Linked DNA regions of Nothobranchius furzeri. The protein of the gene in region 1 binds, or shares a complex with, the protein of each later gene. Links are inferred from orthologs where the notes say so. Each region holds a gene or a part of one and is shown in the gene's direction. Other genes may lie near its edges.

Region 1 (6,069 bases):
ACCTAAATCATATCTATAAAATTCAGTTCAATTTATTAATCTTCCAACTTTCTGCTGTTATTAAAAATACTGTTTACAGACATTCTTACAAATAAGTCTTTGATGTTGTTATGTTATGTGACCCAGTACGTCCTTCAGGTTCAGCACCATGGAGAGGGTACTTCACACGTACTGATAATCTCATATTAGAGGTCTGTCAAGTGCAGGACATTTAAGGAAATATTAAAATCTTCCTCAACATTGTTAAATATAAAACTTGTTTAAGATTCTCAACTTTATTTTTTTCCTTCTTTTGGCAGGTCGGTCACATCCTGGTGTCCATCTATGGTCTGACGCAGCAGATAAGGTGTCAGAGGAGTGGGAAGCAGACATCTGATCTGGAGAAGCCAGTTGAGAGCATGGAGCAGCTCATCCTTCAAAACTGCAATCCTACTTATTTGGTAGCAAAATTACTTTAATAATTCAGGTTTATAGTCTTTAATTTCAATGACTGACAATGCAAGCCTTATGTTTCTTCTTGCATTCTTTAAGACAGAGACAACTTCTTGCTCAACTGTTCGGAAAATACAAGGAAAGAAGAGGAAGAGGAAATTATTCATCAACATAATCAAATTACTGATTACTTGTTGGCAAAAACTTCAGAGCAGCTACAAATCTAAGTAGGGTCTGGTGTGACTGGTAACTTCTCACAAAAACACCAGTTTAAGTATATTCACAGCACCGTGATATGACCCTTTTTGCAAAGATAGCTGATAATAAACATGAATGTTAAGTTCTCATTAGTGTTCTTGCTCTTTCTGCATTTGTTAGCATTGCTCCTTGTTATGTTGTTATAGTTTCATTGTAACCACAAATAAGCTAAATGCAAATATTCAGCATTATGCACATTTCAAAGTCTCATGTGATGTGTTTGTGAGTCAAACGTAAATGTGTCTCTGTGTGTTATCCTGTGAATTCAATGTCAGATTTTCTTCATAAAAATATTAAGAAAACAACAAAAATAATTTATATTATTCTCTTCTTAATGTTAGTTAGTATTTAGAGAGTCCCACCTTTGATAATTCCAAAAGGCCATTGCAAATTATTTTTTTAATAATTCAAAGGAACTGGTGCTTTTAAAAGAGAAGAGGAGATGGGACATTAATGCCCTCTGGTGGCACAGAGATGAACTACAGTCTAGTTCAATTAAAAAAAACTTTTTTGCATTATCATTATCATCATCATCATCATCATTATTATTATTATTATTATTATTATTATTATGAAAAACATCCCATTTTTGTCTTATTGGGGATGATGGAGGACTAGAAAGAGCAATCACAAAAATTTAATTAGCGCAAACACTTCCTGTAAATTATTACAAAACATGACATGTCTGAGTTAACAAGAGAGGAACTCGCAGCCTCTAGCTGTCTTTTTTATTAAGCTAAAAACCCAATTGAAATATTTTCGACATTTCCAAATCAGTCTTGTTCACAATCACTCCTTCCAATGGGTATTGCATAGAACAGTCCAACATAAATATTGACAATAATAATAAGTAAAACATTTTATAATGAAATTTTGCCAGAATATAATCTTACTAATTTAAAGGGCAATGTAAAATAAATGTACTGCAATGGAAAATGTTAATCCTGAGTACATAAAATAAATAGTTTTTAAACAGTCTTATAAATTTATTTTAGCGAGTTTTGCTCATTGTTGGGCTTTTTACATAGCAAAAGCGATTACAGCATCAATTCTGCCACTGCGAAAAAAATCTGCTTTAAAATCTTTTTATTGCTTCATTTTCCCAAACCTAAATTTCTAAAAAGATATATTAAGAAAAACTTGGAGGCCAAGTTGTGCAAAAGAGCGGAACTGTTCTAATGAGACACTGTTTCCACCCTGAGCATTTATTTTGTTACACAGATTTCCGGCAAACGAAATAGCAGCGTTGTTGTTTGGAACGTCCACTAGTGTAACTGTAGGTACAGTTTGTTTTTATAAGTGGACGCGTAGACCGTAAAATGGGGTTTTTCGAAATGTAATTAGTTTTTTTTACTTTATTGATAATCTTCGCTGCTTAAATAAGATACTTTAAAACCCTAAAATTAGCATTCGCGTTCAAATACGGAAACACTTGAATGATGAACAGCTCACGTAGCACCTGAGAGAATTTACGCATGTTTCTCAGTAAATATAGTTTGTAGATTAGTAGTAAACAAAGATGGCCAGCAGCAGCTCTTCGAACATGGATCCAGATGTTGCTTGGTCGTTATTTGAAGAAGGAGCTACTTTGGTTCTGCTGGGTGTTCCTCAGGGCACCGAGCTTGGGATTGACTGCAAAAGCTGGCAGGTTGGTCCTCGGTTTCGTGGTGTTAAGATGATCCCCCCTGGTTTACACTTCCTCCATTACTGCTCTGTAAACTCGCCAAGCTGTGGTGGAGAAATCGGTCCTAAAACGGGTCTTTTCCTCACCCTGAAACCAAGAGAAATTCTCCTGGCCAACTGGGATCCCAAAGAAGAAGATCTGGATTTCTCAGCCTCCAGGAATGAAGAGGAAGTGAACAGGATCCGGGGGACTTTGCGGGAGCTGGATCCCTTCTTGGGCCCTTATCCCTATGAGGTCATGAGGAAGTGGGTGTCTCTCACCGATCACATCAGCGAGAAGCTGGCCAGTGACTTACAGCCTCTGACGGGTCGAATCTGCGCCTTCAGTGATGTCGTCCCCGAGCTTCAGTTCAGACACACAAAAGACAGGGCAGAGCAGCCGAGGAACGACACGGCCTGCCAGAGCATGAAAGAGGGACTGGACAGGCTTCCCAAAATGAAGCACAGAGAAGGGACTGAACTGCGCTTTTCAGTTATTCCCAAAAAGACCTACCCTCCTGGGGCTACTCCAGCTGAGATCACGAAATGCAGCATGGACTTGAGCTATGCCCTGGAGGGGGTTCTGGAGAAGAAATACGAGAACCAGCCTCTAAACTTGCTTGGTTTGTGTCACAAAGATTAATGCACTGTTACAAGAATGCAACTGCCTAATGCCTATGCAACTAAATATCTGAATCTCAAATCTCTTCCAGGTGAGCTGCAGTTTGCTTTTGTGTGTTTCTTGATTGGGAATGTGTACGAGGGCTTTGAGCACTGGAAGAGCCTCCTGGCTCTGCTGTGCCGCTCGGAGGAGGCCATGAGGAGGAGGAAGGAGCTCTATCTGGGACTCATCACTGTGCTCTACCACCAGCTCGGAGAAGTCCCTCCTGACTTCTTTGTTGACATTGTGTCACAGAACAACTTCCTCACCAGCACGCTGCAGGTACAGCAGATGTGCAACAGCTGCACGCACAATGTTAGGGAAATATTCAAAATGTTTCTGAATCAGAAAAGAGCTGTCACTAGAGGCACAAACATCATGTTTTTATTTCTTGTGACCCTAAATTGTTTATAAATGTAACAAACAACTTGTACATTTCAGACCGGATATCCATCATTTTCCAGCATTTCCAGCCTTCATTTAAAACTATAAAAGGTAGCAGGGGACATGAATCCTTTCAACGAGGTCTTTAAGTAATATTTTCATTTAAAATCTGTCTTCAATTTTTTTTTCTTCTTTCAAAATGATTTTTAAGCAGCTACAAGATGGAAAATCTACTAGAGCAAGAATTAGGGTCCCATATTTTGTTTCTATTTGATCTCAAACTGGTGTTCTTCATTGGGGATTATTAAATCGACTTTTTATCTTGCAGGATTTTTTCCAGTTTGCCACTGGACCTGGTGTGGATGGGATCCTACAAAAGAAGGCAGAGAAGTTCAAAACCCACCTAACCAAGAAGTTTCGTTGGGATTTCGATGCAGATTTGGACGACTGTGCACCTGTAGTGGTGGAGCTGCCTGAAGGCGTCACAGTGGACTAATTCTCCCATCGTGCAGTTTCTCCTCTTGGCCTCATACCGGTTCTACAGCAGCACACTGCCACGGTTGTTCTGTGTGGTTCCAACATGTCTTCTATTGTTTGTCTTTTCATAAGGAGAAGATAATATGTTCACGAATCATCTGTAGTGATGTAGTCAGAGAGAGGAGAGGTTTGATCTGAGGTCTGGTGGTTTTTATATTAAATAAAGTCAGTAACAATTTATTTTGTTTTATTTGTATAGTTGTTTCAAAAGAACATTTACATTCTACCACATTATTGGAAAGTTTTGAACAGTAGTTCATGAATCTATGAACAAATCTAAACATGCAAGACATCATATGCGTAACATTTGTTTCAAAATAAAGCACTATTGTCCAACAGGAAAGTGGGAACATATTTATATAAAGCAACCATGTGGTCAGGTTGCCCCTGAACGTCTCCCTAGTGAGGGGCTTTCCAGACACATCCAACCTGGAGAAGACCCAGGACACGCTGGAGGGACTGCGTCAGCTGGCCAGGCACTGCCTTAGGGTTCCCTTAGAGTAGCTGGCCCAAGTGGCTGGGGAGAAGGAAGTCTGGGCCTCGGCTTAGGCTGACCTGACCCGTGACCTGACTCTGGATAAGCGGCTGCAAATGGATGGATGAATGTCAGCCTCTTTTAATTATCATGAATGTTTAACATGTCCACTAGGGGGAACTGGAGGACTGGTTTTCACTATGAGCTCCTTTTAGTTTAGTCGGTTTTCAAAAACCACACAATAAAGGTTCTGTTTATAAAAGCAGGAACACCTCAAGATCCTACCAGGTTTTCAAACCTCAAACCTATCAAATACTTTTTTTTTTTCATATAAGCTGATAATTAAGAAGATGTGTGTTATGCACTGACTGGATCTGGATAACAAACACAGATCTATCTCTCTGTGTCCCCCTGCCAATATCTGATTGGACAAATCTTGTCCAGTCTCATCACTTCACACATTTCAACTCAGCCCCTATCCCTCCTGAACTTTTTTTTTACTCCCAATCAGATCTCCTGGTTGACGTTAAAGTTCAATGAGTCAGTTTTAAACCACTGAGCTGCAGTGAAAAGGACAAAAGCCGTTTAATGCAGCTAATGTGAATGGATGGTTTGTTCCTGTGGGTGAAGATCCAAATGTCACAACAAGAAATGCATCCTCTACCCAGAAGTCAGATGCTGTTGTGAAACAGATAGTAATGTAACTGGTGACCCCACCCCCAAATTAATGCCCGGCATTTCTGATTTTGTGGTCTTGTGAACCCAGCCTGTCCCTGGTTTTTATTTCCCTTTTGAAAACAATCAGATGGAGAGAATGGCTTGGAACACGTGGTGGAAACACATCGGCACAACACAGGGAAGGGAATGCATGCCAAAGATTCGTAGATGGATTTTCCTCTCTGGGGATAAAATTATGGACATTGCCAAATGATACAGCCATGCAAATGACCCTGATGGGATGTCCTTGGCATTCCAGACCCTTCATTAGTGCAGGAATGACACACAGTCAGCAGACAACTCATCACTCTCTTCTGTGCTGCGTGCACCCCTTCACCTTTAGAGGACAGCTTCCTGTTATCCCGGTATGACAGATATTTTCCGGCAATAATCTGTGGTGAATGTTTTGTTTGGTGCAGCTAACCCAGAAAGTAAAGCACAGTCAGAAACACACTGCACTGATTGGGCTGAACCTCAAAGCCTCGCAGGGCCCGTCAGTCATGGTGGAGCTCTCCTCGTAGACGTGAGCGTGCCATTCCCATGGAGCTTGCTGGCTTCTCACTCTGCCAATGTAAACACATGCGCCTGTGTCTTTTTCTCAACCAGGCAGCCACCCCCTACCCATCCCTCTGCATGGCAGAGGTCACTAAACGTGCACTCACTCATGCACGTGTGCAACTTCCTGCCCATAAATTTACTGATTTTGGTGTTACTTTGTTGCTGATTGAACAAATCCAATGTGTTATTATGTTTACATGGATTCATTTGTACATTTATGTTGTAATTCTGGTTAAATAAGTATTTTTAAATCATGGATCAAATGTTGGCGTCCCTATTTGGATTAAAACAGCAATTTTTTGCATTGTATTTGTATTTCTTCTCAAACATCAGCTTTTTTAGTGATATTTCTAGTAATGGAAAAAAAATCAAAGTCCTTTCTTAC
Region 2 (6,119 bases), on another chromosome or scaffold:
TCAGACTAGTGATTTCTCTTGGCGTTCAGTTTATACATTGAAACAGCACAGCACTCTATTTAAACTACTTATATGTAAATCTATGTTATTTGTCCATCCATCCATCCATTTTCATCCGCTTATCCGGAGTCGGGTTGCGGGGGCAGTAGCATCGAGGGACCCAGACTTCCCTCTCCCCAGCCACTTGGGCCAGCTCCTCCGGGGGAATCCCAAGGCGTTCCCCGGCCAGGTCCGATAAGAAGTCCGCTCCGACAGCTTCTGGCATTTTTAAAAAGTATCCCAGGGGCACAGTAAGGGTCGGAGATGTCTATTTAATTTCAGACTATATAAAACGATTTCTTCGGTTTTAAAGTGTGAAGTAAACTCCGACGAAGTAAAATCCAAGCCGAACCCGTTAATTTTGTTTACATTTGTTGCCTGCCAACATGGCGTCTACTCTCTGAGGGTCATGTGACATCCGGAGCTCTATAGCCCAGATGGACACTAAATGGAGGAATGCATACATTTCTGTCTGGCCTGGAGCAAGGACCACAGAGCAGCCAGCGGAGTTTCATACAAGCCCCTGGGTCAACGGAGCCACAGCGATGGCGTGGGAGCATCTGGAGGAGTATCCATCAATCTGGAATACTTTGAAGGGTAGAAAATGTCTTTTTGGGCTTTTAAAGATTTTTCATGTTTTAAATTTTTGTTTTATTGCATCTGAGGTTCCCAGTGAATGTGGCGATCCCACTGCGGTGGTGGCATCTTGTGTGTGTGTGTGTGTGTGTGTGTGTGTGTGTGTGTGTGTGTGTGTGTGTGTGTGTGTGTGTGTGTGTGTGGGTGTGTGGAAAAAGTGGGCATGCAAAGAGGCATAGAGCAATACATTTTACCGTACATTCAGTTGATTGAGTCAATGGTCAAGAATTAATAAACATAGAATTTTTCCATAACTGCGGAGCCCCTCTGATGACATGGTCCAAAAAATAAATAAATTGTGGCCACGAAATACTATTTTGAGGGCACGAAATAGCTATAACGTGCCCACGAAATACTTATTTGTGGCTTATAGCTATTTCGTGGTCTCAAAATAGTATTTCGTGGCCTCAAAATAGTATTCCGTGGCCACAGTTTATTTATTTTTTGGGCCATGTCATCAGAGGGGCTCCGTGCATAACAGCAACTGCACTGAAAATAAATTTAGGATTGTTCTTATTCTCCTCAATTGGCAATGAAAAATAAGCAGTTCTGCTTATTTTTACAAAGCACGAGACTATATTTTCAAGATAATGACAAATAAGCAGTTTTGCTTATTTTTACAAAGCACGAGGCTATATTTTCAAGTAGGAATCCTCCCAGTGTGTAGAGCGCCATGTTCACTCCAATTTTCTAAAGTTCTGTTTTAAAGTTTGTAGACCAAGATTAAACCAGGGAGCCAACTTCCTTAATTACCTTCTTTTTAAAGGGGCAGCATAATCTAATGCTACACTATGAACTAGACCATCAATTAGTGAAGGACTAGAAATGAAAATATTGTCCTCTGCTACGTTCCTCTGAGATGCTGAGACAGTAAATATGGAACAGCGTTGTCAGATAGAGATTGACTATAGTGAAATTTACTTTCATGTTCAGAGAACTCAGCTAAAATGAACACAGAAGTTATCAGAAAGTGGTCTGAGAGGACTGGATTATGTGATAATATTGTTATTTCCTCACACTCTATGCCATAAGCCAGCACAAGGTCTAATGTATGATGGCAGGAGTGGGTGGAGTTATGTATTTTTTAAGTAAAATCAATTGATTAAAGGCCACATTGAGGATATCACTTTCAGTGTCAGCATGAATGTTGCAATCCCCCACCCCACTACAATGACCTTATCAGTATTTAGCACCAAATCAGATAAAAAAAATCAGAGATCTGATCCAAAAACTCAGAGTAAGGGCCTGGTGGATGATGCAAAACTACAAACAAGAATGGTTTTACCGTTTTACAATCTGGATTAGGAAAACTAAGAGTGAAATGTTCGAAAGAATTGTAACCATTAATTGGTAAAGGATTGATTAATAGGTCTGAATGAAAAATGGTTGCTACTCCTCCTCCTCGCCTTGTACTTTGAGCAATATGATGATGTCAATAATTAGAGTCGACTCATTTAAACTAACATAGTCCTCTTGCTGCAGCCAGGATTCTGTGAGAGAGAGCAACGAGATCTGATTATAACAAATCAAGTATTTAACTAACAAAGTCTTAGAAAAGATAGACCTAATGACCCACATTTATTTGTTCTAGTAAGTTGCATTCATTTTTTTGTTCTTCCAGGGACCCATGTACTGGAAGTAGATGGGCGTGACTTAGGATCCCTATACTTTTTTTAAACATAAATCCAAATGTTCCACCCACATATTAGAATTTATAATATATTTAATCAGGAGTTTAAATCTGAACGCCAGCTCCCACTCCTCACCACGTGGTGGCGGTAATGCGTCAGTCCATGACGAGGAGCAACCAAAGAAATGAAAACGAACGAAGCTTGATTTATTTTCAGCAGGTTGTTTACCTTCTTACCACGTTACATCGTTATGTTTTCTTTATACTTACCTTCTCATTAATCGTTGTTTTGATGTAGCTTATATTAGCTGTGCATCGTCACTTTCCGTCATTTTAGATTTCTAGATCCGTTTACAACGTTCTGCGTGTGCAATGTGTTGTTGTTTTTGGCTAATGTAGCAACAAGCTAACACGAGTTTCTTTTGAATGACATAACGATGAATTATCGCACAGCTGATAGTTTAGCTGGCTTTCAGTGGCGACCGTAAACGAATCACTTTATTGTCTTTTGTAGTGTCACCATGTCGAAAAGAAAAGTCACGTTTGAAGACGGGGTCGGGGAGTTTGACCTGGAAGACGAGGGTCCAAATAAGAAGGTGATGCATTTAAGGTTATAAAGAAAGAGTTGAGTGTGGAGGTGTCAGTGGTTAGTTGGAAGCCCTAAGTCCAGGCCGTTGACTTGTCTTAAATAGTTTTGGATTAATACTAATTTATTGGTAAAACCCGGAAGGCAGTTGTCTAACATTCTGATATAAAACTAACAAAGAAACTTAAATACTTGGTATTATAATTGCTTCCGTGAACCAAGTTAATCTCTTACACTTTTAGCATGTTTACCTATAAAAGTCTTATCGTTTACTCAAGCTGATGCTTACATTGCATTGCTGTGTGTGTGTGTGTGTGGCCTACCACAAGAGCTGCAGATCATCTTATATACTGCTGCAGTCGAATCCATACTTTGCTCATCCATCACTGTCTGGTTTGTGTCAGCCACAAAAATGGACAAATGCAGACTACAGTGTATTATTAAAACAGCAGGAAAAATAATTGGTGCCCAGCTGCCCTCTGTCCAGGAACTGTACATCAGCAGGACCAGGAAAAAGGCAGTGAATATTGTCCAAGATGCCACACATCTTGCATCTACTCTCTTCCATCTCCTCCCATCTGGCAGACGCTATAGATCACTGTACACAAAAACTACCAGACACAAGAACAGTTTCTTTCCTTCAGCCATTTCTCTCCTGAATCTGTAGATTCTTTTACCATCCTTTTATTATAGTTTTTTATACTTATTCAGTATGCTTATGGATATGAGTGAGTGTGTGTGTATACATGTGTGTGTGTGTGTGTATATATATATATATATATGTATATATATATGTATATATATATGTGTGTGTGTGTGTATATATATATATATATATATATATATATATATATATATATATATATATATATATATGTGTGTGTGTGTGTGTGTGTGTGTATGTATATATATAAAAATATACGTGTGTGTGTATACATGTTCTTATGTGTTTTTTATGTATTTTTATTCTCATTTATTGTAGTTGTTGTATGTTTTAGAGAGCGAACATCTACCGAAGCTAAATTCCTTGTAAATGTAATTTTACTTGGCCAATAAATCTGAAATCTGATCTGATTCTGTGCTGTGGTTACTAGCCTGGTTACAGATTAATGTTTCTGCTGTTTTTTACACATAAACGTGTCAGATCAGCTAAACAAAAACATGTTAAAAAATAACCCGAGTTAATACAAAATTCAATTTTCAAACAACAGAATTAGCTTTTGGGCCTTGGCCTTTTGCTATGACACTTGTTTACCCCCCAACTGGAGGGCACTTGGGCTGAAAAAGGCTCTTCAAAGCAACCTGGCCCTATGAGCAAAACATGATTGACTCCTGATTAAAACAACTGCAATCAAGCTTTTGTGATCATGGGTGATGAATTGTTTTGATGCAGTGGAGTGGAGCTGTTCAGGCGTTCTTCAGAAATTTCCGGTAGTGAGCAGAATTTTGCTTGTATGATTTTTTTCACAGCTCTTAAGTAAGATTACTTTTAATCAAATTTATGATGAGCACCCCCCCGGATAATCCTAAACCCTCCAACTCGAAGGCTCCAAGTATGACCTATTTTAACCTATTTTGTCCTACATCATTTTACATTCAGTGTTGCAGCAAGTAGACTCGCACAAGGCCTCTGCACAGAAAATAAATATTAAAATGAAAGTAAAATATCAGTATTAAAATGAGATATACAATTACAACAATATACAATCAAAACATGAAGTGAGTCGGATAACAGTTCAGTCTTACAGGACTATGCTTTAGCATATTTCTGACTCAAACGTGCCAAATCCCATACAGCAGCTGAATGCACCATTTAAACAAGTTGAATCAGATCTCTGTACTATTTTAGACTTTTTGCTGCTGGCATGTCTTATAAAGACTTTATTGAAACAGTTTAGTAGCAACAAGAATGGTAACTAACAATCTTCCATTTCAGTTTTCCACAATTCTCAGAATATTGTACATTTCCTATTTATTCTGAGTGGTTTGCCTTTTGAACTAAAGACTCTTTATTTTTTTAACCACTCATATCTTTGAGTTTTCTATTTTTCTATCACTTTCAGCAAATTGTTTAACCAGTGACACATTAATGCCTTTGTTTTTTACAGCAAAAGTAGTAATAGTGGTACTTGTGCCGCAGCACTGACCCATGGGTTTAGGGGTTTGTCTTCAGACACAATGCATTTTTACTTTTAATGCAAAGATCAGAACTTTGCTTTTGACTCTACGTTTACTGGTTATACTGCTATTTTGTATTTAGTTCATCATTTTCTTTTGCTGTAATTGCAGAGCTGTGAGGCTGTCAGTGGACCAGGCTCCAGGTTTAAGGGTAAACACTCCCTTGACAGTGACGAAGAGGATGATGGAGAGGACACAAACAACAGCAAATACAATATTCTTGACAATGATGATGTGGAGGGTATGTCTTGTTAAGTATTTCCATTATACTTTTGAAGTTGTAAACTGGGTCCAGTTTTCCTTAGGCTGTGTGAAGCAATGTTTTTTGTTAAATGCTTTTTGTGGTGAATTGGGGTGGTGCCACCTTTGTTTCCAGGCCAAGAAGGAGCGACTATTGACTTTGACGAAGGAGTTTCTATTACACCTTTCAACCTGGAAGAGGAGATGCAGGAAGGCCACTTTGATTCAGAGGGAAACTATTTCATCAAAAAGGAAACACAAATTAGAGACAACTGGCTCGACAACATAGACTGGGTAATTGCATTCTCAGACAAATGATTATTTAATGGAAGCTCTGCATTTTGCAGTAAGTGAAGTATCTGTTTTCTTGCAGGTGAAAATAAAAGAGCAGCCTATTAAGAAAAAGAAAGGTCTTGCAGCCAAACGGAAACGCAGAGTCGGTGATGAAGATGAGGCAGAGGAAGAGAAACGAAGGGAAGAACAGCAGGCAAACCAGGAGGATGAAGAGGAGGAGGAGATGCCTGCAGAGGACCCGTTGGCTGCCTACACTCAACAGCAGCTTGTTGAAGCTGTTGTTGAACTGCTGCAGCCTGGAGAAACGGTCGCCGCGGCGCTCCGTCGGTTAGGAGGCCTTGGAGGGCGCAAGAAGGGAAAGCTGAGAGAAGAAAACCAGTCCACAGAGGAAGCTTCAAGAGACACGGAAAAGCTGGATAGGCTCACAGCTTTAGCTGACAGGCTGGTTGGATCTGGGATGTTTGAAATCTATCAGCAGAGCTATGAAAAACTGGCCTACGTGATGAAAAGCATGAC
Region 3 (6,364 bases), on another chromosome or scaffold:
TGTTTTGAAGTGAAATCTGTTTTCATCTGTAGTTTAGTACCTTTGCAGCCACATTTTGAACATGTGGTGTTGAGTACGGCCTCCAGTGTGATCCTGTTGCTGCCCTGATCTCTAAACTGCCTTCGCCGCCTTGCATCCTGCCTGCAAACACACACACACACACACACACACACACACACACACACACGACTATAACAGGTCTGTTAAAAACACACACTCATACACAAATGTAGACACTCACTCCGCTTGAACATTGTTGGGGTCCAGGTCCCTCCCTGTCCCTTGATTGACAGCTTTCATTGAGAAGGACAACTTCACCTTCTCACCCTGAATCTGAGAGTCAGAGGGCAGAATTTTTATTTGCTGCAGATTCAAAGTAAGCATGTGTGTGTGTGTGTGTGCGCGTGTGTGTGTGTGTGTGTGTGCGCGTTACCTCCCGTCCGATGACTTTAATCCACACCTGTTCCCCAACATCCACAATCTCTGAGGCACTTTCAACCCTAGAGGCAGACATCTCGCTCACATGTACCAAACCTGTGTGTGTGTGTGTGTGTGTGTGTGTGTGTGTGTGTGTGTGAGAGAGAGAGAGAGAGAGAGAGCAAAGAAAGAGAGAGGATTTTTAGTGTGCCTCAATGGATTTCAGACAAAAACAGTTGAGCCAAAATGACCTGAAACACAAATAGATTCTTGTTTAGATGATCTGAGATCTAAACATTTCCTTAAATTTAATTTAACTTAATATTAAGACCTGAATAATACATAAAAAGCACCTATATTTTGATAATAAATACTCAAATTAGAACCCAAACCTTTTATCTTTTTTCCATCTAGTGGCAAAATATTTTAGGGCAACCACTAAAATTAGAATTTATCATCAGAGATAATGAAGTATAAAAAGTTTGGGACAAACTTCTTCCTATTTTAGCCGTTGATGCTTCCCAGTGCTGCATCTGCTACTAAAATTATAATATATGGTATTAAATGAAAACGTTTTTTTTAAATAAAAAATATAAAGTTAGCTGTAGTCATCTAATATCTCCTATTTTTCTTTTTACAGATCCATTACTGCTTTAAAGGACTCACTTCACTCAGCTGGTTAATATTACTAATACTGGTATTTCATTTTTAAAGATTACAAGCTCTCAGCCTTCTACCAACCTTCCTTCCTGTAACCAGGCAGTCGAACAAAAGCTCCATATGTTTGCACTGAAACCACCTCTCCCTTGGCGATGCTGTACATCGGAGGCAGACCATCCAGCCCGGCTGGTTCTCGACTCGAGCGGTCACGGTTGGACATCGTCTCAATCTGGGCAAACAGTTGGAGGATTAAATATATTTCAATTCAATAACACAACACAGATAAAAGACGAAAGACGAGGAAAAGTTAAAGAAACCCAAAATAAAAGCAATATTGTTCCTTTTACAAAGTAACAGAATAAATTTAAGTATTTATATTGTGAATAAAAATTATTAAATAAAAATCCATAAAACTACTTTCTACGACAACTATTATGTTTTCACAAGTCAGGAGTAGGCAATAAATCAAGTTCAGTTGAAGTTATCCTTCAATTAAAATGTTTTTTCTTCGTTTTCATTAAGAATTAAGCTCAAATAACCCAGTTTAATAATATTAAAACTAGACTAAAAAGACCAGCCATGGTCTAAATTTTATTTAAACGGTAACTGCATATTTTCTAACACTCCATACATGTGAAACAGACTGAGAACCAAACACAAAAAAATAAATAAAAACAAAGAACACAGACAAAAATTGCAGCTGTCAGATTTAAAGAAACTAGGCTAATCTCAAAAACGAACAAATAGAATTATTAATATTGTAAATCAGTTTTAATTTTCAAAACATGGATTTATCTTACCTCAAACTTCACTTTCCATTACATTAATTCGAGCGGAGTAAAAACTATAGGAGACAATATCTCTGGAAACATGAACAGGATAAACGCAACACGAGCATTGGTGTTTACATAAAACCCTCTAACCTATTCCTGTTAAACTGCTCTATGATACATTAGTAAACCAGACAATTGTGCTATAATTAATATATTTTGCGTAATGTGACTCTAACTCTTAAGAAATAAAAATAATTGCAATACCTTTTCCACCGACTAAACTGTGCTAGTTATACTTCCAGGTCAAATTGACGCCAGGAAGAAAATCAGCCAATCACTGCAGCCTGCGCAAATTTCCACCAATCACGAGCTTTGAACCCGGAAGTACTTCAGTGTCTGTCTTCTTTGGTGGTTTTGTTTCCTCAGACGTCTTTCGTCGAAGACGTCCGTTAATTTTACTAAGTTTTAGCTTTGCATTTACTCTATTTAGCCGCTTTTTGTTAACTTTCCCCGCAATGATTGAACCTCTAAAGAGACCCGGAGACATGGCGATGGTTCCCACTGCGCTGAAGCGGCCACGGATGGAGCTAGTAGCGGCGGCTCAGTCTCAGCAGCTCGTGGCCACGGTAACGTAGCCCTGGTGACATCCGACTGCGTTTACATTCAAGATTAAATCATACTTACCACCTTTATAGTAGTTATGTTTTTAAGTTTGAGAAAAGGGCAAGCTATGCTAGCCGGGGACTTATGTATTCATTAACCGGACCATGTAAGCAGATTTAGTCACGTTTTCATGATTAATGTAAACATCAGAATAGTTGACAATAGAATTCAATATGCAAAAAAACTATTTTCAAGAGCGTGTTGGTTATTGTAATTATGTATTTTATTGGTAACAATATTTATTATTAAAACAGCCTTCCTTTTTAATATTTGATTCAAATAACAAAGCATATATAATAAATAAATAAACTGTCAAGATGATCAGAGTTCACTTGTGCATCAAAGGTAAAATATATATACACAGATATCACCTTTTATCATAATGCAAGCTTAAGGAAACACCAGATTGTAATTGCCACTGGTGCAATTAGGATCTACTTCCAGCTCCTACATGATTAAAGGGAGCATTTACTTCACTCTCTTTGCTAGATCTCAGCAAGTCATCCAGCTCGTATGCATTTAAAGTAAAGTACCACTTGTTGTTTCTGCACCATAATGCTGCAAACCTAAATCACTGATCCCCATAGGGCCATCCACGCACCTCCAGCATGCAGGCTCCCATCATGTTGATGTCTGGCCATGAGGGGGAGGTCTACTGCTGCAAGTTTCACCCCAATGGAGCTGTGTTGGCCTCTTCAGGATTCGACAGACTCATATGTAAGTTTGTGTCAAACAGTAGCAGACATATGTTTGTTAAAACCGCTTTAAAATCTCTGTTACCATGCTGCAGTGTTGTGGAACGTGTATGGAGACTGTGAGAATTACGCCACCCTGAAGGGTCACAGCGGAGCGGTGATGGAGCTGCATTATAACACAGATGGCAGGTAGAGACGGTGGAATATGATCAACTAATATCTGGTGGATTATTGCGGAACTTGAGTCAGAAGTGTGATACAGAGGTGTCTGTGTGGTTCAGCTTGTTGTTTTCAGCCAGCACGGACAAGACTGTTGGCGTGTGGGACAGCGAGACAGGTGAGAGGGTCAAACGTCTGAAGGGACACACCTCCTTTGTTAACACCTGCTATCCAGCTCGCCGAGGTCCTCAGCTGGTCTGTACAGGAAGCGACGACGGGACGATCAAGGTCAGGCTGTTTTCTGGGTGTTTTGCTGTGAAAATGAGGTCCAACACACACCGTTCACACACACCTACATTGTTGCACGTTTTGTTTAGCCTGATGTTTTTTGTTTTCTAGCTGTGGGACATCCGCAAAAAAGGAGCCATCCACACCTTTCAGAACACCTACCAGGTTCTGGCCGTGACGTTTAACGACACCAGTGATCAGATCCTGTCTGGAGGCATCGACAACGACATCAAGGTTAAAAAAACAGTTTTTCTTAAAGGGACTCATTAAACTGTTTATCTTGAAGAAAGTCAGACTAAACATTTTAATCCCTTTAACAACAGCAGATGGTTGCAGTGATGCTCTGTTTCAGCCATTTTAAAGTTGATTGACTGAAGATGTTCAGTGAGATTTATTGTCAGCCCTTGGTTGTTTACATTTTTGTTTGCTTCAACTCCAAACGCAAGTTTATTTTTTGTTGATTGTTGCAAAAATGTGAAATGTCGAAGGCAACAAATCGGCTCCAGCCTAAAATTCTCTCCTGGTCGTTGATCTGAAAGCTTTGTGTTGCTCAGGTGTGGGATCTGCGACAGAACAAGCTGATCTACAACATGCATGGACACGGGGACTCTGTAACCGGGCTCAGCCTGAGCTCCGAGGGGTCATACCTTCTGTCGAACTCCATGGACAACACTGGTATGCTCGGCTTCTGATCCTGCTCATCTGTGCTTGAATCGCATCCCTCAAAGAGTCTCGCGTGTCTTTGCAGTGCGAATTTGGGACGTGCGGCCGTTTGCACCCAAGGAGAGGTGCGTGAAGATTTTCCAGGGTAATGTTCACAACTTTGAAAAGGTAATCTTCACTAGCAGACAAATGAACAATTCACTTCTAGGTCAATCTGAGAAGTCGTACATATCTGGACTAAAGAAAACCGCTTTTTAGCTGTGAAAGCTCCGGGTCTGTGTTCTTCTCATGTCCTCTTTTCCTGTTTATTCAGAACTTGCTGAGGTGCTCCTGGTCCACTGATGGCAGTAAAGTAGCCGCAGGATCAGCCGATCGGTGAGAAACGCTTTGGTGACTTTTTAAACCCAAACGGAGTAAAGATAAGGCACTGAGAGCCACTTTTGTTCCCCGCTCTGTGCGTCTGCTACAGATTTGTGTACATCTGGGACACCACGTCTCGCAGGATCCTCTACAAGCTGCCGGGCCACGCCGGTTCTGTTAACGAGGTGGTGTTTCACCCAGAGGAGCCCATAGGTGAGCGACAGAACAGGAACCGGAACCAAACACAAGAAAAAGTCACTCATTTATTCTTTTCTGTGTCTTTGCAGTGCTGTCTGGCTCCAGTGATAAACGTCTGTACATGGGTGAAATCCAATAAGGTGTGTGTGTGTGTGTGTGTGTGGGTGTGTGTGGGGCGGGGTCTGCCTGTCTCTCAAGCTTTAGTTAAGACTAAACTTGTGTTTTTTACATATTTCTTTTGAATAAATGTCATTATTCTATAAAAGAGTTTATTTTTTTTATCTGAAGCACCGATTCCTCAGTAGGGGAGCAGGGAGCTGGTGTCAGGTCCAGCAGTCAGGGGACACCCTGCACATGTCTCAAGTCCTTCACAGGAAATGAATCGGTTGCCAGCACCAGCAGGAGCTTTTCAAGCAATATGGCGGAAAATGCCCCACAAAAATGACTCCTTTGACTCCTAAAACCAGGGTATCCGCGGGTCCTTAAAAAGTCTTAAAAAGTCTTAAATTTGCTTTTCCAAATTTAAGGCCTTAAAAATCCTTAAAAATGACAAATAATCCTTAAATACAGTTTCCAAAGGTCTTAAATTACCAAAGACCCAATAAACAAGATTATTTTATTTCTATAAAATTTTGGTGAATTTCTAGTTAGCTCAGGATTTTTTGTGTATGATGTTGGCGTAAGCGGAACTGTACAGATACGGTTGGTTGTGAAAGGGGGCTGTTTTTAGAGGAGCATGTTAGTGGGAGCTTGCGCCATGGGGAGGTGCAACATTAATGGTAACTGGATGGTTAATCCCACGTTCATGACGTGGTTAGCACCGGTTCCAGGCAATAGCTGGAAATTATAACTGAAATTTAATTTTAAAAAATAGCATAAATTTGGTCAAAGTGGCCTTAAAAAAGGTCTTAAAAAGTCTTAAATTTGGCTCCCTTAAACCTGCAGATACCCTGTAAAACAGAAACATTTGGGTGAAAAGGTCTTTTTAGTTTAGTGGACTCCGATCCAGTTTTCCAGAGTCGGAGATCTGAACTATTTTCTGGTTAAATACCGATAATAAAACTAAATTGGTAAACTTTTCCTATAAAGTTTTTATCGCTCCTGAGGGGCGATGTGGTTAGTGGTTCTCAAAATGCCTTGTTGTTTAAGTTGGAGCTTTTTTTTTCCTTCTTGCAATGTGAAAGATTTTTTTTTAAATCTACGCTGAAAAGATCATAGTACGTATGTTTTTGTCGTATTTTTTCCAAAATATGTTCATAATTTTCCGTTCGGCTCTTTTTCCCACCGTTTCTGCCTCGGATCAGACGAGGACGGATAAAACGGGGCATGAATGGCTTTCTGTGGTTCATCTTTGGGAGAATGGAGCGGTTTATCTATGCACAGTTCTGTGGCTTATATGAAACGCTTTAAAGCTGGCCATAAAGTGTGCTGAGTTAATGGAAAAACTTTGGAATTTCAGATTCCTAGAAAGCCATGACCACTTTAACA
Region 4 (5,653 bases), on another chromosome or scaffold:
TATGCATAATAAAACCAAGGAGTACTGATACAGGACATAGTACACAAAAATAAAAGCATACCAAGTAAAAATTTTACTAAAACTTATAAAAGAACAAAGCTGCACAGACTAGTTATAAATACCAAAAACATAGAATAAATTTAACAACACAGGTTAAAAAAAAAAATAAACCAAGTAGACCACAGATAGGTTAATGGAAGGCATCATAAAAAAGTTTGGTTTTTAATCTGGATTTAAAAATGGAAGTGGTGGGAGAGGTTTTTATGTCTTTATGGAAGACGGTTCCAGAGACGGACCACATAGCAGCTAAAGGCAGACTCTCCGTGCTTGGTGCGAGCTCTGGGTTGTACCAATAGGTATTTTTCTGCTGACCTAAGTGATTTAGAAGGGCAGTACTTTTCAAACATCTGCTATATACAGCGGTCCTTGGCTATTTAATGATTTAAAAGCAAGTAAAAGGACTTTAAAAATCAATCCTGTAAGTTACTGGTAGCCAATGCAAAGATTTTAGGATTGGTGTGATGTGATCATTTCTTGGTGTTTCTGTTACTGCTGGCTGTAGCTGCAGTTGGCCCCTCGCTGTTCGGACACTGGTGCATTCAGGTCTAATTAACCCAATCACTGATGTTGTATCTCTCTGAAGTGTGTGTTTTCTACTTCCAGGATGGTCCCTACATCACAGCAGAAGAGGCCGTGGCCATCTACACCACCACGGTGCACTGGCTGGAGAGCCGGCGGTTCTCCCCCATTCCCTTCCCTCCTCTGTCCTACAAACACGACACCAAGCTGTTGATCCTGGCCCTGGAGAGGCTCAAGGAGGCCTACAGGTGGAGATGTTTAGAACATTGTCAGCTTTGATGTTTGTCCAGTATTTATGTAACTGACGTCCTTGTGTCTTTTAGTGTGAAGTCTCGTCTGAACCAGAGTCAGAGGGAAGAACTGGGTCTGATCGAGCAGGCCTATGACAACCCCCACGAGGCGCTTTCCAGGATAAAACGTCATTTACTCACTCAGAGAGCGTTCAAGGAGGTCAGCTTAAATCAGTGCAGATGTTTGGAGAGTTTGATGTTTCAGCTTTAAAGTACAAAACCATAGAAATGTTCCTCTAAACATTTAAAATTCCTCAGATCATTTTTTATAATCAGAAGTGAATTGACTTTTTTCACCTTCCATGTTTGAGTTTTCTATCAGTGTTGAGATATTTTCTTCTCCGCAGGTTGGTATTGAGTTCATGGACCTGTACAGCCACCTGGTGCCCGTGTACGACGTGGAACCTTTGGAGAAGATCACCGACGCCTACCTGGACCAGTACCTGTGGTACGAAGCAGACAAGAGACGTCTTTTCCCTCCGTGGATCAAACCTGCCGACACAGAACCGCCACCGCTGCTGGTCTACAAGTGGTGCCAGGGTAACGCCCCCCAATAAAAATGCACTTCATTACACTTAATCATTCAAGTAAAATTAATGGTTAGGAAAGGTCTCCAGTTTTCAGGAGTTCATGTTTGTTTATTTTCAGGCATCAACAACTTGCAGGATGTGTGGGAAACAGCGGAGGGAGAGTGCAACGTGATGCTAGAGTCTCGCTTTGAGAAGATGTACGAGAAGATCGATCTAACGTTGCTCAACAGGCTGCTCCGTCTCATTGTTGACCACAACATTGCTGATTACATGACGGCCAAGAACAACGTGGTGATAAACTACAAGGTGATCAGGGTTTACTCTTCTAGAACATGATGCTGCAGGGTTTTATCTGGTCCTGATGTGCTGTTGTGTCTCGTCCTGTGCGTAGGACATGAACCACACCAACTCCTACGGCATCATCAGGGGGCTCCAGTTTGCTTCGTTCATCGTTCAGTATTACGGTCTGGTGATGGACCTGCTGGTGCTCGGCTTGCACCGCGCCAGTGAGATGGCCGGTCCGCCTCAGATGCCCAACGACTTCCTCAGTTTCCAAGACACGCCCACAGAGTCTGCCCATCCCATCAGGCTGTACTGTCGTTACATCGACCGCGTACACATCTTCTTCAGGTGGGCACCAGAATTAGAAGAGGATGTTATATTTTATTTATTTATTTTTTACTTTTATTTTGCTCGACCAGAGAGTTTCAGAAAGTCAAAACTGTTTAATTCTTCAGGTTCTCTGCTGATGAAGCCAGAGATCTAATTCAGCGTTACCTGACAGAGCATCCAGATCCCAACAATGAGAACATAGTGGGCTACAACAACAAGAAGTGCTGGCCGCGGGACGCCCGCATGAGGCTGATGAAGCATGATGTCAATCTGTGAGTTTTTACTAAGTATTTATATTTGCAACCAGTAATTTGTTCACTTGGTGCCATCGTTTGCTAACAGTTTGAATTATTAAGGGAAATCCCTTCTGAGTTTAAAACGAGTGTATTAATCATTTCCCCAGTGGGCGAGCCGTGTTCTGGGACATCAAAAACCGCCTCCCAAGATCTGTGACCACGGTCCAGTGGGAGAACAGCTTTGTGTCGGTCTACAGCAAAGACAACCCCAACCTGCTCTTCAATATGTGCGGCTTTGAGTGTCGCATCCTCCCCAAGTGTCGCACCAGCTACGAAGAGTTCACTCACAAAGATGGAGTCTGGAACCTGCAGAATGAGGTAAGAGTGAAGTGGCAGAGACCTAAGTGTGTGGACGTGACTTCTGTGACAAATAATCGATCATAAATGCAAATGGCAGTTTATCTTTTTATTAATCTGAAGTTCCTTGTTTGTTCTGGTGCAGATAACTAAAGAGAGGACAGCGCAGTGCTTCCTGCGTGTGGATGATGAATCGATGCAGCGGTTCCACAACAGAGTGCGTCAGATCCTGATGGCTTCTGGATCCACCACTTTCACCAAGGTTAGAGGAAGCCTTTATTCTCACAACTTGCAGATGCAGAACGGTGAAGAACAGTCTGGTAAATCTGAGTGTTTTGTTTTTATTCTAGATTGTAAACAAGTGGAACACCGCTCTGATCGGCCTGATGACGTACTTCCGTGAGGCTGTGGTCAACACACAGGAGCTCCTGGATCTGTTGGTGAAGTGTGAGAACAAGATTCAGACACGTATCAAGATCGGCCTCAACTCCAAGATGCCCAGTCGTTTCCCTCCTGTCGTCTTCTACACCCCCAAAGAACTGGGAGGTCTCGGCATGCTGTCCATGGGTCACGTACTCATCCCGCAGTCGGACCTGCGGTGAGTCCCACACAGCTCTGCGTCTCTGAATACAGTAAAAATTCCTGAACATATCGGCTTAATGATTCTGCTCCTTTCTCCAGGTGGTCCAAGCAGACAGATGTGGGCATCACCCACTTCAGGTCTGGAATGAGCCACGAGGAAGACCAGCTCATTCCTAACTTGTATCGTTACATCCAGCCGTGGGAGAGTGAGTTCATCGACTCTCAGAGAGTCTGGGCAGAGTACGCCCTCAAGAGGCAGGAGGCCATCGCCCAGAACAGGTACCCCTAAATCAGATCGGCCTGATGAAGCAAAAAGCATCTTCAGCAGATTTTGTTATTTTGAGCTACTAGTCTACGTATCTAAGGAACTTTTATTGTGATTAGTCTTAGTGGTTTATTTTTGTTTGTTTCAGGCGTCTCACCCTGGAGGATCTGGAGGACTCGTGGGACAGAGGAATTCCCCGGATCAACACCCTTTTCCAGAAGGACAGACACACTCTGGCCTATGACAAAGGCTGGAGAGTCAGGACTGATTTCAAACAGTATCAGGTATGAGGAACGGGGTGTGTTGGTGAATTCAAAAGGAACGTTTTGGTTAAATGGTTTAAATATTTATAAGGTTTTGTCATTTTAGGGTGTTTTTAAGCAGATTCAATTCATGCTCCTCAATACCAGATCATTGTGAATTTTATGCTAACGTACATAAAACATTAAAAATGTTGACGTTATTGTGAGAAAACAAGTGTAATCCTGGTCATGCTTTGGTCTTGCCTGCAGGTGCTGAAGCAGAATCCATTCTGGTGGACTCACCAGAGACATGATGGGAAACTGTGGAACCTGAACAACTACCGCACAGACATGATCCAAGCTCTGGGTGGTGTGGAGGGCATCCTGGAACACACGCTCTTCAAAGGCACCTACTTCCCCACCTGGGAGGGTCTCTTCTGGTGAGGCTGCGTTAAAGAGAATCTACGTGAAATGGTCGTTTTTTTGTTTTCTGTTATTTTGTACCGTTTTTGATTTTTTATTATTATTTCTCTGGCGATTAGGGAAAAGGCCAGTGGCTTTGAAGAGTCCATGAAATGGAAGAAGCTGACCAACGCTCAGAGGTCTGGTCTCAACCAGATCCCCAACCGTCGCTTCACTCTCTGGTGGTCGCCCACCATCAACCGGGCCAACGTTAGTATAAACATCAGCAGTTGGAACAATCATTTAAGAACCATTTACAGAATATTTTCCCTTCCTCTGCAGGTGTATGTGGGTTTCCAGGTACAGCTTGACTTGACGGGAATCTTCATGCACGGCAAGATTCCCACTCTGAAGATCTCCCTCATTCAGATCTTCAGGGCTCACCTGTGGCAGAAGATCCATGAGAGCATCGTCATGGATCTCTGTCAGGTAGGCTCTGATCCATAAACTCGCACGGAGAGAGTCGTGTGTTCCGATAGATTGGGTAAATGTTATGTTTCTGGTTGGCAGGTGTTTGACCAGGAGCTGGATGCTTTGGAGATTGAGACGGTGCAGAAGGAGACCATCCATCCCAGAAAGTCCTACAAGATGAACTCGTCCTGTGCAGACATCCTCCTCTTTGCGTCATACAAGTGGAACGTCTCCCGACCGTCTCTGCTCGCCGACTCAAAGTAGGACATTTAAAATGTTTGTCTCTGAGACTGTTGTTACAGAAAAGATGTTAAGGTTAGAAATGACACTAATACAGTTTGTTCACACGTTAGTTTACATGTGAAGATGGTTTTGTCTAATTTTGTGTGAAATAAAAGCATACCTCCTCTCTCAGGGATGTGATGGACAGCACCACCACACAGAAATACTGGATTGATATCCAGCTCCGATGGGGAGACTACGACTCTCATGACATTGAGCGCTACGCCAGAGCCAAATTCCTGGACTACACCACGGACAACATGAGTATCTACCCCTCTCCCACTGGAGTGCTCATCGCTATCGACCTGGCTTACAACCTTCACAGGTGTGGCTTGTTTTCATCAGTTAAGTTTGTATTATTAGGGTCATTATGAAGTGACTATTGCATTTATTTCCACCATAACTTCACATGATGTAGTTAAATGACAGATGAACTGAAGTTCAAATCTTAAAAGGCTGCCGGAAGTGTTTCCTGGATTTTTACATCTGCTTGTAAATGCTCCTCAGTCGCCCTTGAAGTCTCCACACAAGCTTCCTAAATTCCTGTCCATGCTCCATCAGCCAGTTGATTTATTTGGAGTTCTGAACTGTATGTTTTTGGTTTTATTCGTTTTTCTGTAGCGCGTATGGTAACTGGTTTCCAGGAAGCAAGCCTCTGATCCAGCAGGCCATGGCCAAGATCATGAAGGCCAACCCTGCTCTGTATGTGCTCCGAGAGCGCATCCGCAAAGGTCTGCAGCTCTACTCCTCAGAGCCCACGGAGCCTTACCTGTCCTCGCAGAACTACGGCGAGCTCTTCTCCAAC

What was found.
Region 2: aar2 (region 1) and cd2bp2 share a complex: the UniProt entries of both Homo sapiens proteins name them as parts of the U5 snRNP complex. The link is inferred for Nothobranchius furzeri from reciprocal best matches to the Homo sapiens genes AAR2 and CD2BP2.
Region 3: aar2 (region 1) and snrnp40 share a complex: the UniProt entries of both Homo sapiens proteins name them as parts of the U5 snRNP complex. The link is inferred for Nothobranchius furzeri from reciprocal best matches to the Homo sapiens genes AAR2 and SNRNP40.
Region 4: aar2 (region 1) and prpf8 share a complex: the UniProt entries of both Homo sapiens proteins name them as parts of the U5 snRNP complex. The link is inferred for Nothobranchius furzeri from reciprocal best matches to the Homo sapiens genes AAR2 and PRPF8.

What each region holds. Positions count from the first base shown.
Region 1 is NC_091755.1:59,903,144-59,909,212, forward strand, and holds aar2 (protein AAR2 homolog), read left to right. Parts: upstream 1-2,012; 5' UTR 2,013-2,209; coding exon 2,210-2,975; intron 2,976-3,065; coding exon 3,066-3,295; intron 3,296-3,725; coding exon 3,726-3,893; 3' UTR 3,894-4,114; downstream 4,115-6,069. UniProt on the Homo sapiens protein: Component of the U5 snRNP complex that is required for spliceosome assembly and for pre-mRNA splicing.
Region 2 is NC_091745.1:8,819,620-8,825,738, reverse strand, and holds the start of cd2bp2 (CD2 antigen cytoplasmic tail-binding protein 2), read left to right. Parts: upstream 1-2,428; 5' UTR 2,429-2,525; intron 2,526-2,605; exon of another isoform or gene 2,606-2,819; 5' UTR 2,820-2,826; coding exon 2,827-2,901; intron 2,902-5,180; coding exon 5,181-5,310; intron 5,311-5,445; coding exon 5,446-5,603; intron 5,604-5,682; coding exon 5,683-6,119. UniProt on the Homo sapiens protein: Involved in pre-mRNA splicing as component of the U5 snRNP complex that is involved in spliceosome assembly.
Region 3 is NC_091759.1:20,972,236-20,978,599, forward strand, and holds snrnp40 (U5 small nuclear ribonucleoprotein 40 kDa protein), read left to right. Parts: upstream 1-2,232; 5' UTR 2,233-2,365; coding exon 2,366-2,476; intron 2,477-3,100; coding exon 3,101-3,230; intron 3,231-3,303; coding exon 3,304-3,397; intron 3,398-3,489; coding exon 3,490-3,655; intron 3,656-3,766; coding exon 3,767-3,889; intron 3,890-4,209; coding exon 4,210-4,330; intron 4,331-4,403; coding exon 4,404-4,486; intron 4,487-4,631; coding exon 4,632-4,693; intron 4,694-4,787; coding exon 4,788-4,891; intron 4,892-4,965; coding exon 4,966-5,015; 3' UTR 5,016-5,141; downstream 5,142-6,364. Other genes in the region: zcchc17 (zinc finger CCHC domain-containing protein 17), read right to left, coding at 41-141, 242-333, 434-534, 1,159-1,297. UniProt on the Homo sapiens protein: Required for pre-mRNA splicing as component of the activated spliceosome. Component of the U5 small nuclear ribonucleoprotein (snRNP) complex and the U4/U6-U5 tri-snRNP complex, building blocks of the spliceosome.
Region 4 is NC_091753.1:37,699,122-37,704,774, reverse strand, and holds part of prpf8 (pre-mRNA-processing-splicing factor 8), read left to right. Parts: intron 1-663; coding exon 664-827; intron 828-902; coding exon 903-1,029; intron 1,030-1,216; coding exon 1,217-1,409; intron 1,410-1,517; coding exon 1,518-1,705; intron 1,706-1,790; coding exon 1,791-2,029; intron 2,030-2,136; coding exon 2,137-2,283; intron 2,284-2,414; coding exon 2,415-2,625; intron 2,626-2,749; coding exon 2,750-2,866; intron 2,867-2,954; coding exon 2,955-3,202; intron 3,203-3,285; coding exon 3,286-3,465; intron 3,466-3,599; coding exon 3,600-3,735; intron 3,736-3,963; coding exon 3,964-4,133; intron 4,134-4,235; coding exon 4,236-4,365; intron 4,366-4,437; coding exon 4,438-4,584; intron 4,585-4,665; coding exon 4,666-4,826; intron 4,827-4,981; coding exon 4,982-5,173; intron 5,174-5,469; coding exon 5,470-5,653. UniProt on the Homo sapiens protein: Plays a role in pre-mRNA splicing as core component of precatalytic, catalytic and postcatalytic spliceosomal complexes, both of the predominant U2-type spliceosome and the minor U12-type spliceosome.